3 linked regions of the Macaca mulatta genome follow. The protein of the gene in region 1 interacts with the protein of each later gene in a pairwise test. Links are inferred from orthologs where the notes say so. Each region holds a gene or a part of one and is shown on either strand. Other genes may lie near its edges.

Region 1 (3,560 bases):
CCTGTGGTTACCAAAGTGTGAACCCAGAAAATCTTAAGACAGATCTCAGTTAATTTAGAAGGTTTATTTTGCAAAGATTGAGGACGCACACCCCTGACACAGCCTCAGGAGGTCCTGATGACATGTGCCCCAGGTGGTCAGAGCACAGTTTGGTTTTATACATTGTAGGGAGACGTGAGTCATCAATCAACATGTGTGAGATGAACAGTGGTTCCGTCTGGAGAGGTGGGACAACTTGAAGTGGGGAGAGGGCTTCCAGGTCATAGGTAGGTAAGAGACAGATGGTTGCATTCGTTCGAGTTTCTGATGAGCCTCTCCAAAGGAGGCAGTGAGATGTGCATTCACCTCAGTGAGCAGAGGGTGACTGAATAGAATGGGAGGCAGGTTTGCCCTGAGCAGTTCCCAGCTTGACTTTTCCCTTTAGCTTAATGGTATTTTCCTTTCACACTGCCGAGCCCTCTGAGCCTTGCTTGCCGCTGTGGCGGGAATGCTCAGCCGGTGAGGCCATGCAGCCAGCACCCTCAGCGCATCCTAGGACAGAGCCTGGTAAGCCTGTGGGCACTCGGTATCCCAGTCTGTAGCTGGCCAGGTCGAGCGCGGCCTTCAGCGGTCTGCCGCTCATGTGACTGTTTCTCCAGGAGAATTCTTTCTTCATTTTGGTTCTACCGCAAATATTTTCCCATATCATTACAGTTCTTCACAAACAGAATCTAAATGTCTGCATATTTTATCAAGTGGCCACACCGTAACGCACCTAGCAATTTTCTCACCAATGGTCCTTCATGTTGTTCACCAGTGTTATCACAGCACTGCGGTGGGCAGTTTACTGTCTCCGTTTCTGAACTGCCAGTTGAGGTTCACGTTCTGTTTGCATTATCTCCACTCTTAAGCATGGCGTGTGAAGCTCTCCTCCTGGGAGCCCAGGCCGGCTGGCCTTGCTGCTGAGCATGGAGGAGCCAGTGGGCCAGGGAGTCAGAGCACCCTGGGAAGGGGTCCAGGTCTTGCTTCAGGCTTGTGTTCGCGGAGCGCGGAGCAGGGAGCAGGCTCTGCATCCCTCAGGGTGGCTCTGCAGAAGAGGAAGCTGTGCCTTTTGCACACATCTTGGCTGGACTCATGGTTGAGCTGGGCCAGAGCCCTGGGACTGTGTTTCCCTCTCCGGTATCCGGGGTCTGTGCTGGTGTCTGGAAGCAGGTGTTTCCTCTAATGTGGCTGCTGTTCTAGTTGTTCACAGCCAGAGGGAAAGACTCATAGCGGCGAGTCCCTCCTGGTCGGAGGCAGAAGTGCCCTCACCTTTGGTTAGAGAAGGACACTCCCTCACCCCAGAACCGGGTGGGTGGGGCCTGTCTCTCCTCCTGCACCAGAGCCACCTCGCCTCGTTGTCCTCCCACCTTGGTGGCTCCTTGTGAGGTCTGTCATCCCTATGCCTGCCCTTTGGCCCGAGTGTAACATGTCTCTTTTCTCTGGTTGCTTTTAGAGTTTCCATTTTGTCGCTGATTTTTCAGCAATTTGATTGTGCAATGCTCTCTGGTATGATTTTCTTTCTGTTTATGCTGCTTAGGCTTCACTGAGCTTCGTCATCTGTGATGTACGGTTTTCATCGCATTTGTAATGTGTTTGGCCTTGTTGTAGACGCGTCTCCTGCCTTCATGTTCGTCTGGGCTCCTGGTTCCTTGTGCAGCTTGTTTCTGGTCTCAGAGCTCTGCTCATTTTTCCTCCTTTGGCCCCTTTCCATCTGAGTTTCAGTTTGGGTATTTTCTGGTGCCTGGTGTTTATATTCACTACCTTTTCTTCTGCGTGCTCCGAACCTGCTGTTCATCCTATTCAGTGGATGTTTGACTGTACTAAAGTGTACATAACGCACAGCTGGCCGCTTTATTTTTTGGTGCACCGTTCAGCAGCATGAAGCTCATTCACACGGAGATGCAGCCATCACACCACCCTTTCCAGAACGTTCTCATCTTCACAAACTGAAGCTCTGTCCCCGAGAAACACGGGCTCCCCCTCCCCACCCCCAGCCGCAGCACCCCCATTCCACTTTCTGCCTCTGTGGATTTGACACTCTAGTGACCGCAACAGTATGGAAGGCTTCAGGAATTTGAGTGTCATATTTGCACCTCTGTCAGGCCAGAAAGGAGGGATATCACAACCCCGGGGATGGGGAGGGACCACAGCCCAAGCTCAAGCAGGGGACTGGCCCCGAGAGGGCAGCAGGGAGGGCGGAGGCACAGCCTGCCAGGACAAGCTGGGGAACCGTTCATCTTTTTGTAGTCATTTTTCCTTGTATTTGACAGATGCTCCTCGGGCAGCATGAAGAAGAAATAAGTAAAGACTTTCCATCCAGTGAGATCCAGCAGCTCCGAGAGCAGAACACGAGCTTGCGAAGCGCGATTGCCCAGATGAGGAAAGAAATGGAGGCTCTAAGCCATCAGATTCCTCCTCCCGCCCAGACAGCGGCAGAGAGCACAGATGCAAACCAGCCTGACCCAAAGGCTGGGGGAGACACCGCCACTCCTGGTGAGTAACAGGGAGAAAGGGACAGAGCGGGAGGGGAAGTGGGAGAGGGAGGGAGGAGGACAGACGGGAGCATGGGTCTCGACTGGCTTCAAGGAGGCTTCATTTCAGAGTCCTGTAAGTTAACATCCCCTGTAATAAATTCAAAGCATGAAAACTGCTTTTTCTCCAAGAGAAGGAATCTTCAGTTTTATACCAAAAAGCTTTTATATTTGTAAAGTAGAAGGAAAAAATGAGGGTACCTGCTTGACACACTTAAAAAACCTGTTTTAGACCTGAACCAGGGCTGGCTTGGTGTCGCGCTGTCCCAGAGTGGGTTGGTAGCAGGGGCTGGTGGACCGCAGGCCTTTCCTCCAGAGGAGTGTCCGTGGCAGAGCTGATGAGGGCGCCCGATGCCCGGGAACCCCACGAGTGGCTGTGGGTGGGCGGATGCCAGGATGGATGCAGAGCTTCCGTTCTCCAGGTGGGACTTGGCCCCTCGCACAGAGGCACGTGGGCTGCAGCAGGTGAAACATTTGCTCCTGATCGCTGAGCCCTTCCTGGAGAGCATGGAGACTATGCTGGTCTCTGGCTGGCACACTCTGGCCAGTGAGGGGAGGGAAGGTCTTTCAGTCTGACACACACACAGAGTGTGGAAACTGCTGTGAAGCTCTCGTGCGGGGAGGACAGGAGGACAGGCACAGTGAGGCAGCGGGCACGAGCTGGCATCGGCTCCCTGAGCTGGTGCTCACAGGAGGGCGGTGCGAAAGGGTGTGTGTGTGTGTTATATTCACTGGGCTTTTTTTGGCAGATTATGTTCTGGCCCTTGAAGCAGAAATACGAACTCTAAAGCATAAGTTTAAAACTCTGGAAGAGCATCTAGAAGATGTGCTGGATCCTTTAAAGATGTCCTCACCTCGTGCCGAGTCTCAGCCCAGCGTCCGCACCTCGACAGAGACGACTGGTGAGAGTCCGCGTCTCACTGGGCTCCTTGCTGTCCCTTTATAAACTGAAATCTGACCCCTGCAGAAAGTCCAGTCACAGCAAATATATAGCTTGAGGCTATTGCA
Region 2 (4,189 bases), on another chromosome or scaffold:
CCGCCCGTCTCGGCCTCCCAAAGTGCTGGGATTACAGGCTTGAGCCACCGCGCCCGGCCTTGTTTTTGTTTTTTTGTTTTTATTTTTTGAGACGGAGTCTCGCTCTGTCGCCCAGGCCGGAGTGCAGTGGCCAGATCTCAGCTCACTGCAAGCTCCGCCTCCCGGGTTCACGCCATTCTCCTGCCTCAGCCTCCCAAGTAGCTGGGACTACAGGCGCCCGCCACCTCGCCCGGCTAGTTTTTTGTACTTTTCAGTAGAGACGGGGTTTCACCGTATTAACCAGGATGGTCTCGATCTCCTGACCTCGTGATTCGCCCGTCTCGGCCTCCCAAAGTGCTGGGATTACAGGCTTGAGCCACCGCGCCCGGCCGTTTGTTTTTGAGACAGAGTTTTGCTCTTGTTGCCCAGGCTGGAGTACAATGGCACGATCGCAGCCCACTGCAACCTCTGCCTCCTGAGTTCAAGCGATTCTCCTGTCTAAGCCTCCCCAGTAGCTGGGACTACCACGGCCGGCTAATTTTTTTTTTAAATTTATTTTTAGTAGAGACGGGGTTTCACCATATTGGCCAAGCTGGTCTCGAACTCCTGACCTCAAGTGATCCGCCTCAGGGCCAGGTGCGGTAGCTCACGCCTGTAATCCCAGCACTTTGGGAGGCTGAAGCGGGAGGATCACTTGAGGTCAGGAGTTCGAGACTCACCTGGCCAACATGGTGAAACCCGTCTCTCTAAAAAAAAAAAAAAAAAAAAATTAGCCGGGCGTGGTGGCGTGCGCCTGGGAGGCTGAGGCAGGAGAAACGCTTGAACCCGGGAGGTGAAGGTGGAAGTAAGCCCAGATCGTGCCACTGCACTGCAGCCTGGACAACAGAGGGTGTCTCCTTCTCAAAATAAATAGATAAATAAATAATAAATGTTTTAATTGCAAAAATTAGCATGTAGAAAATAGGACAAAAATACAAATTATCTGTGATTCTAACCCCGAGACACCCAACAAGTTAATTTTCCTCATGTTTTTAGCGTAAAATCTTTCAAGTATTTAACTACTGCTTTTAGTGTCTGCACCAGGAATCTCACGTGCTTTCAAACGTTTTACAAAGCACAGTAAAAAAGTATTTCAAAAGTCCCACTTACCCCTCCCACTCCTGTTTTTATTAGGATCGGCCCAAATTAAAAAATTTAACAAAAAGGAGTGCTTATTAATTACATTTTCAAATGAAGGGTTAAAAAAAGAGATAAGCCTGGGATTTCTAATTCGGGGGCCATGGGACTTCTCCCCTCCAAGTGCAAGTTGTAGCAATCTGCCGGGTACACGCATGGGCGGGTCATACTCCACGGGTTCCGGTTTCCACTCCCCGTGAACGAAAAGCCAAAGAGGCTCACGCACGAGCCCGGAAGTGAGGGAAGGAAGACTTTCGTTCGCAGCCACCTCCCAGCTGGAACCTCATCCTTAGTGCTCGACCCCGGGCGGTGTTAACTCGGGGTTCCGCCTCGGAATGCCTCTCACTTCTCTCGTCTAAGAGGAGCAGTAGCAACCTGAGCTCAGAGCTAAGCTAGCGAGCCAAAGACTCTCAGTGGGGATGCCCAGACGGTGCATTTCCCACGCCCCTCGGAACCGACTCTCATTGCGGCTGCTGCAAAAGCGACCGGTCGTGCGCCACCCGCCCGACTGAGGCTGCGCAAGCCCCGGGGTCTGAATGGGGTGGTCCTAGTGCGCGCCGCGTCGCCGTGGAGACAAGGGCGGGCCCGGCGCGAGACTGGCGTCTAGAGGCGCGCGAAGCGCTGAGGCTGGCGTGGGCCGCGCGGGAGTTACGAAGCAGGTCCCGGACAGCCCTCTCCCGCCGGGTTTTCTCCCAGCGTCAGGCCCGATGGCTCGGCTTCCCCAGGTACGAGGCCCGATCCTAACGTCCCCACCCTCTTATGGGCTCGGCCTCTCCGGCAGGGAGCTCAGTCGGGTCCCTCCGAGTCCGGTGAAATCTGTGCGAGCCTCTGCTTCCTCCCCTAAAAGTGCAGGTGATGTTGCCTACCTGCGGGTCTGTGGTGCGGGAATGGAGGAAGTGCGACAAGAGGGCGCAGGACGGGGCCTGGAGCCTGCCATCCTCTCCCGCTATCCTCTCCCACCGCGTCTCCTCGGCTTCTTGTCCTGCGCCCCGGGGGCACCGCATCCTCCCAGGCGTCTAGTGCGCTCCTGGCCGGTGCTCGAGTCTACGCAATGCTTCTTAGCGTACGCGGATCCAAATGAGGGGTTTCCTTCTCCCGGCTAAGTGGCCCAGGAGAGCGGAAGGGCTGGTGTATGGGCGACCTTCCCCCACCGAGCCCGCAGGGGGTAACGCAGTAAACAAACCTTGAAGCCTTCCCCGCGTGGGAGGTGGGTGCATGTTTTTATTTTATGGGAGGCTGTTCAGGTTTCCTAAGTGCTGTGTAGATGTGTTGTAAATATTTGTTGAATGAATGATGCTAGGGACTTGAGTACAGCCATACCTTGCTTTATTGAACTTAATAGGTATTGTGTTTTTTACAAATTGAAAGTTTGTAGCAAGTAGTCCTGCGCCGAACAACTAGTTTTTCAGCAGCATGTGCCCACTTCCTATCACTGACACTTTGGTAACTATCGCTATATTTCAAACTTTATTTCAGGTATACCGTTACAGTGATCTGTGATCAGTGATCTTTGATGTTATTATTGCAATTGTTTTAGGTCGCCATGAACCTCACTGGTATAAAACAGTAAACTTAAGTGTTGTGTCTGACTGCCCCACCTACCTGCCAGTTCCCTGTTTCTCTCCTCCCTCTTGGTCCTCCTTGTAGCCTGAGAGGCAACAATATTGAAATTAGGCCAATTAATAGCCCCACAGTGAACCCTAAGTGTTCAAGTGAAAGGAAGGGTTTCATGTCACACTTTATATCAAAAGCTCGAAATGACTAAGCTTAGTGAAGGAGGTACATCAAAAGCTGAAATAACGTGAAAGCTAGGCCTCTTGTACCGAACAGCCGAGTTGTGAATATAAAGAAAAAGTTGTTGAAGCAAATTAAAAGTGCTACTCCAGGGAACACACCAGGGATAAGAAAGCTAAACAGCCTTATTGCTGATATGGAGAAACTTTTAGTAGTCTGGATAGAAGATCAAACTAGCCACAATGTTTTCTTAAACCAAAACCTAATTTTGAGCAAGACCCTAATTCTCTTCAATTCTGTGAGGACTGGGAGAGATGAGGAAGCTGCAGAAGAAAAGTTGTAAGCTGGCCAGGGGAAGCGGTTCATGCCTGTAATCACAGCACTTTGGGAGGCTGAGGCGGGCAGATCACTTGAGGTCAGGAGTTCAAGACCAGTCTGGCCAACGTGGTGAAACCTCCTCTACCAAAAATACAAAAAAATTAGCCAAGTGTGATGGTACTCAGGAGGCTGAGACAGAAGAATCGCTTGAACCCAGGATGCAGAGGTTACAGTGAGCCGTGATTGAGCCACCGCACTCCAGCCTGGGCAAGAAAGTGAGACTCCGTCTCAAAAAAAAAAAAAAATGTGTAACTGAGAAATTAGCTGGAAGCTCCTAGTGTCTAAGCAGGACTGCGGAGTTCATGGGCTTCACTTTAGGGTAATCTAGGGACAAGTCTGCTTTTTCATTGATGGAGAGTAAAGCACATGTTTCAGAATCTGGAGATCTGTTAGTTTTTAGTGTTTTCTGAGAAGACTTTTCCAGTCTCCTGCCTGAAAGGTACCATCTAGCTACCAGAATGTTGGAAGCAGGACAGCAGAAGGGACCTGAATACCCTGTCTGACAGGATTGGAAATCTGTGTGGCCCGCTTTCCTTTGGTATCCTCAAATCAAAGTTTTTCATTTCCTCAAACCTGTTAGGCCACTTCATTTTCCTTGTAAAACTGTGGAAATCGCTGGTGTCCTATAATCTCTTCTCTCATCTCTTTAACCTTATGGTTTGTTCCTTTGTATTCTTTACTATCACCTTAGAAGGTCAATCTACATGTTTAACTGGGAGTCAACACCTAATAATTTTAGTTTTTCTTAGACTTTTTTTTTTTTTTTTTTGAGATGGAGTTTTGTTCTTGTTGCCCAGGCTGGAGTACAGTGGTGTAATCTTGGCTCACTGCAACCTCCACCTCCCAGGTACGAGCGTTCTTGTTGCAGCCTCCAAAGTAGCTTGGATTACAGGCATTCGCCACCATGCTTGTTTTTTTTTTA
Region 3 (4,337 bases), about 38 Mb from region 1:
CATTTAAGAAGTTTTAGCAGCAATAAGTATTTATTATTCTGAATGAAATGTACACTTGATTTTTATATAAAAATCATCAAAAGTGCTCTATTGGATTATTTTACTATTAATTTAACCCCCAACAGCATCTATTAGCTAGACCTTTAATGGGTTTTTCTTTACTTCTGACACATCATTACAACTGGCTAAAACTGTCCAATGTTAAAATATAAAAAATATTAGTTTACTCTTCAAGATAAAGTACCACCAGTGATGAGTTATTAAAAGTGAAAAATAAAAACAGATGCCAGTGAATCAATGTATTGCAAAAAATTATCACAGAATTTCATAGATATATGCGAAGCCCAAGGTAATTTAGATCCTTGGCAGAACATTTTTATGGCACATCTTAAGACTGTGGGTTATTTCTTTTGGAGGCAAATGTCTAGTGTGCCAAGCCTATCTTGTTATTTTCTCATCTTTTCTTGGCTACTTTACAGGGTGAACCAAACGCTGTCTAATGCCGTGCACTCCCATGACCCCCAAAATGTTTAATGTAAATAGAAAGCTGATTTTGCAGTCTCAGAAATAGCCCTTAGGATTAAGTTTGTCGTTAAAGAAGACATGAGTCATTCCTCACAAAGGAGAAGCCCCTCCACCCTCCCACCCCTATTCTTCCAGTCTGCTCCAATGCCAAATCTGTTCTCTCCCACCATGGTTCTGGGTGAATTGGGTGACAAAGTCAGAGCAGGTTTTCCAGGCCCAATAGCCCATTTGGTCTTATTCAGTCTCAAGCAAACAAGCTTCTCTGATTTGCCACGAGAGCTGTCTGACTCTCCCGTCTCTTGGCTTTCTTGCTCCTTTGTCTCACTTTCCAGCACAAGGCGCTGGAGGCTAGTAAAAAAAGTCCAGATGACAGAACAACCAGGCCAAAGATGGAGATGACGGAGCCATGGGAATTGAAGCTGTAAGCCACCGCGGTGACCACGATGCCAGCGATGAAGACAACCACAGCGAAGGGGATGATGCAGCGGTAGCAGGAGAGCTCGGTACCCCCTGTAGCAGCCATCAACTGAATCTCACTGACCAGGGGGACTGTGGTGACCACGACTTCACTCTTAGGGCTCTTCTCCATCGTCGCCGCCATGTGAGCCTTTGGGGCTCCCAGGATCTCCTTGATGGGCTCTTCAGTCATTTTTACAACAGTGCTTCTAAGGTGGGTTTGCAGACTAGATCTGGACAGTCTCACCAGGGTGAAAGCTGTGAAGATAACAGGAGATGTCAGCTACATGTATCAGAATGAACCCTGCAAGCAGAAATAAAAAGCTGGGGAGGCACCTCTTTTCCAGGAGGCATAGATCCATGTGAAAAGCAACTTTACTCTTTTTTTGAATTGGTTGCATTTTCTTTGCATTTAGGCAAAAAATAAGATGAAGCAGATGCACGTGAAGGGAAGACAGAAAAAGCAGGAAGCACTTACAGTGTTTAATATACCCTGGCGGTCTACAAATGTTTTACAAGCTTTTCTCCTTTGTCTATTGCTTCTCCTTCCTCTAAACACACAGAAATGCCTGAATCCTAATCCAAAAATGGTTTCATTCAAGAGGAGAATACATTACAAACAATATTTCACACCGTTAATCCCAGAACTTACAGCAACTCAGACTCCACCAATCTTGCTGGGCATAACATGCATTCTTTCCAAACTGTCACCTATTCGCTGCCCACAAAATCAATGTCAAGGCAAGTGGCCAGCAATAAATGATGTTCTTCTCCATTGAATGACAGTCAAAAAATCTTTATTGTGTTACTATTAAACACAGTGCAACCTGCTCCCTGGGATCTTTTTATTAACCATTTTAGGTGCACAGTTCAGCAAAAAATTCATTGACAATGAGGTGGGGATTTGTGATCTGAAATGTAACACTGTCTTCCAATCTGCTATGACAGAGAAAAAATAAGAAAAAAAAATTCAACCCCTTCATAGGATATAATTTTGTGCTTTCTCCTGGCAAAAATAAAATCAATTATTAGAGTAATTAGTTATCAATACACAAATTTTCTATTAAGCTCAACACAAAATTTTGATATTATGTATACTACAACGTGCGGAAACAAATAAGCATGCTAGGTTTTCAGGAAATCTCATTTTCCTCCATGCCCTTGTGTATAAAACTTGCTGCAATGACGCTTTCTAAGTATTTTGAACCTGAACATTTCAGGACAAAGCTTGAGACTTTTGATCAAAAGCATCTGGTTGAAATGCTGTCTATGAGAAATCAGTGAAAACGTGTCTGCTGCCCAGACATGGTTGAGTCACTGTCTTCCATTCTCAAAAAGCCGTCTAGCTGCTACACAGTTGAGCAGTTGTAGTTACTGAACAAGTTTAAAGAAAGATACTTGAGACTGTTTCAATGAGATTAATATTTTGAATATATTAAGCATCCACTGAAAATAAATTCAACTCCAGATCAAACATCACTGGTTCTTCCCTGCTCTGGAAAGTCAAAATATTACTCCCTGAGCAAGGAACTCAATCTTAGAGCTGCCTACTCACATGTCATTTTTAATCACCAAACTAATTAATCACTGTTGTCCAATGACACCCTGACTTCTGGTGAGGCCAGTTAAAAGATACTTGAGATTATGTCCGAAAAAGATATCTTCACCCCAAAGCTGAGATTGAGCTAATCTAAAAATCAAGATCTGTCCCCAAATTACTTACACTCACCTCCGAGAGGCAATCCATTACCAGAGTAACCACTTGACTTGGAAGGGAAGAAACAGCAACGCTTGAGTCTCTTCGTCCAACTTCTGGGAAAGAGCCTCTAACAGCAAGGCTGTCAATAAAATAATAGGTTAGGGATCTCTTCTGGGGAAAAGAAAAGATGTAAAAATACTTTACTATAAGGTCTGGTCTGGTTTGGAATCTCCTGGAGTTCCTGCTGCTTTCAGGCTACCTCTGTTCCTAAATGACGCTTGTCTTTCCCTCCCTCTCTTTTTATTCCCTCCCCCTCCAGTTTGCCCCTCCCTAACATTTTTTTTTTTTTTCCTTCGTTCTTTTCCTTGCCAGCAGATTCTGAGTTTTGGCTTCCCCCAACTTTGCTCAGTGACATGATAAGTCCGAATCATTTCTACAGATACCCCAGAGACAGGAGCCAGCTTTTACTTTTCTTTCTCTTGCAGCATTTACTAAGCGGACTGCTTTGTGAATTTGAATGACTCACTTTTTCCCCTGCCGACCTCCAGATCTTCCTCCCGTCCATCAGGCATTTTTATAAGAAAATCCCAGAGTCAGCGTTGCAGACCCGGCTGAGGGGACAGAGCTGAGGGGACAGACACTCTAGGGCGGCAGAAACAGCTGTGAAGTCATGGGGCAGCTGAATTCAGTCTCTAAGCCAGCAAAAATCCATGTTCCTAGGTTTTCCCATTATTCTTTATTTATATGTGCGTGATAGTCATCTGAAGCTTAAAACCCCACTTGTTCAGTGTTAATTCATTTAGGAATGAGGGTGGGAGGCACAAATGTTTGCGGTTAAGGGGGGAAGGCAGTCACATTGATTTAAACATGATTGTTTACTGCTCTTGCAAGGAGGTAACTTTAGCAGCGCCAAGATTATCATCATCATGATAATTGCTACCATTTATAGAGCACCTACTCTGGACATGGCACAATATTAAGAAATGTCACACATTAACATTAATTCTCACTAGTTCATAAATGAGAAAACAGGCTCAGAGAGGTTAAGGAATTTAACGAAGATCACCCAGTAACAGAGAAACCCTTGGTTTGAACCCTAGTCTTCAATAGATACATATATCATCTGGGGAGATTGTTAAACTTAGATTCTGATTCAGTAAGTCTGTAACAAGCTCCTACCTATGTCAAGACCTCTGTTCCTTGGCCCACTTTAAGGAACAAGGTATTTTAAACATTCAAACATATACAGCTTGACACATCATACGCTCAAACAATAAAGTTAAACATCTATTTCCCACCCCCATAAACCTGTAAGTGGCTTTATAGGTTTATCGTTTCTTACAGACAAACTGTGAACATTTTAAAACCTTGAAATACATAAAGCCCAAGATTGTCTTTTTGAGGAGAAAATACTGGGACCTCATCCTACACTTTGTAGTTAAAAGTTTTTCATCCTCCATTTTCTTCATCTGCACATGTGTTAATAACCCCTTCTAATTAATACTGTGAACCATAAATCCAAATTAACTCTTGGAAGAGATTTGTTTTCTGTCTTTCTGTCAAATTGTTATGTTTCTCTAATTGCTGGCAAAGGGCTTGGATGTTCTCAACATCTTACCTCTCCTTTACCACAGCACGGTCTCTCCAGCCTTGCGTT

What was found.
Region 2: the proteins of CCDC57 (region 1) and SFI1 interact in a two-hybrid assay, tested with the Homo sapiens proteins (2 studies listed by BioGRID). The two-hybrid records come from large-scale screens. The link is inferred for Macaca mulatta from reciprocal best matches to the Homo sapiens genes CCDC57 and SFI1.
Region 3: the proteins of CCDC57 (region 1) and TMEM100 interact in binary tests that used the Homo sapiens proteins (3 or more experiments, as listed by UniProt). The two-hybrid records come from large-scale screens. The link is inferred for Macaca mulatta from reciprocal best matches to the Homo sapiens genes CCDC57 and TMEM100.

Annotation. Positions count from the first base shown.
Region 1 is NC_133421.1:91,874,158-91,877,717, reverse strand, and holds part of CCDC57 (coiled-coil domain-containing protein 57), read left to right. Parts: intron 1-2,291; coding exon 2,292-2,514; intron 2,515-3,301; coding exon 3,302-3,454; intron 3,455-3,560. UniProt on the Homo sapiens protein: Pleiotropic regulator of centriole duplication, mitosis, and ciliogenesis. Critical interface between centrosome and microtubule-mediated cellular processes. Centriole duplication protein required for recruitment of CEP63, CEP152, and PLK4 to the centrosome.
Region 2 is NC_133415.1:20,005,000-20,009,188, reverse strand, and holds the start of SFI1 (protein SFI1 homolog), read left to right. Parts: upstream 1-1,365; 5' UTR 1,366-1,880; intron 1,881-4,189. UniProt on the Homo sapiens protein: Plays a role in the dynamic structure of centrosome-associated contractile fibers via its interaction with CETN2.
Region 3 is NC_133421.1:54,258,419-54,262,755, reverse strand, and holds the start of TMEM100 (transmembrane protein 100), read right to left. Parts: upstream 2,825-4,337; 5' UTR 2,705-2,824; intron 1,240-2,704; 5' UTR 1,175-1,239; coding exon 770-1,174; 3' UTR 1-769. UniProt on the Homo sapiens protein: Plays a role during embryonic arterial endothelium differentiation and vascular morphogenesis through the ACVRL1 receptor-dependent signaling pathway upon stimulation by bone morphogenetic proteins, such as GDF2/BMP9 and BMP10.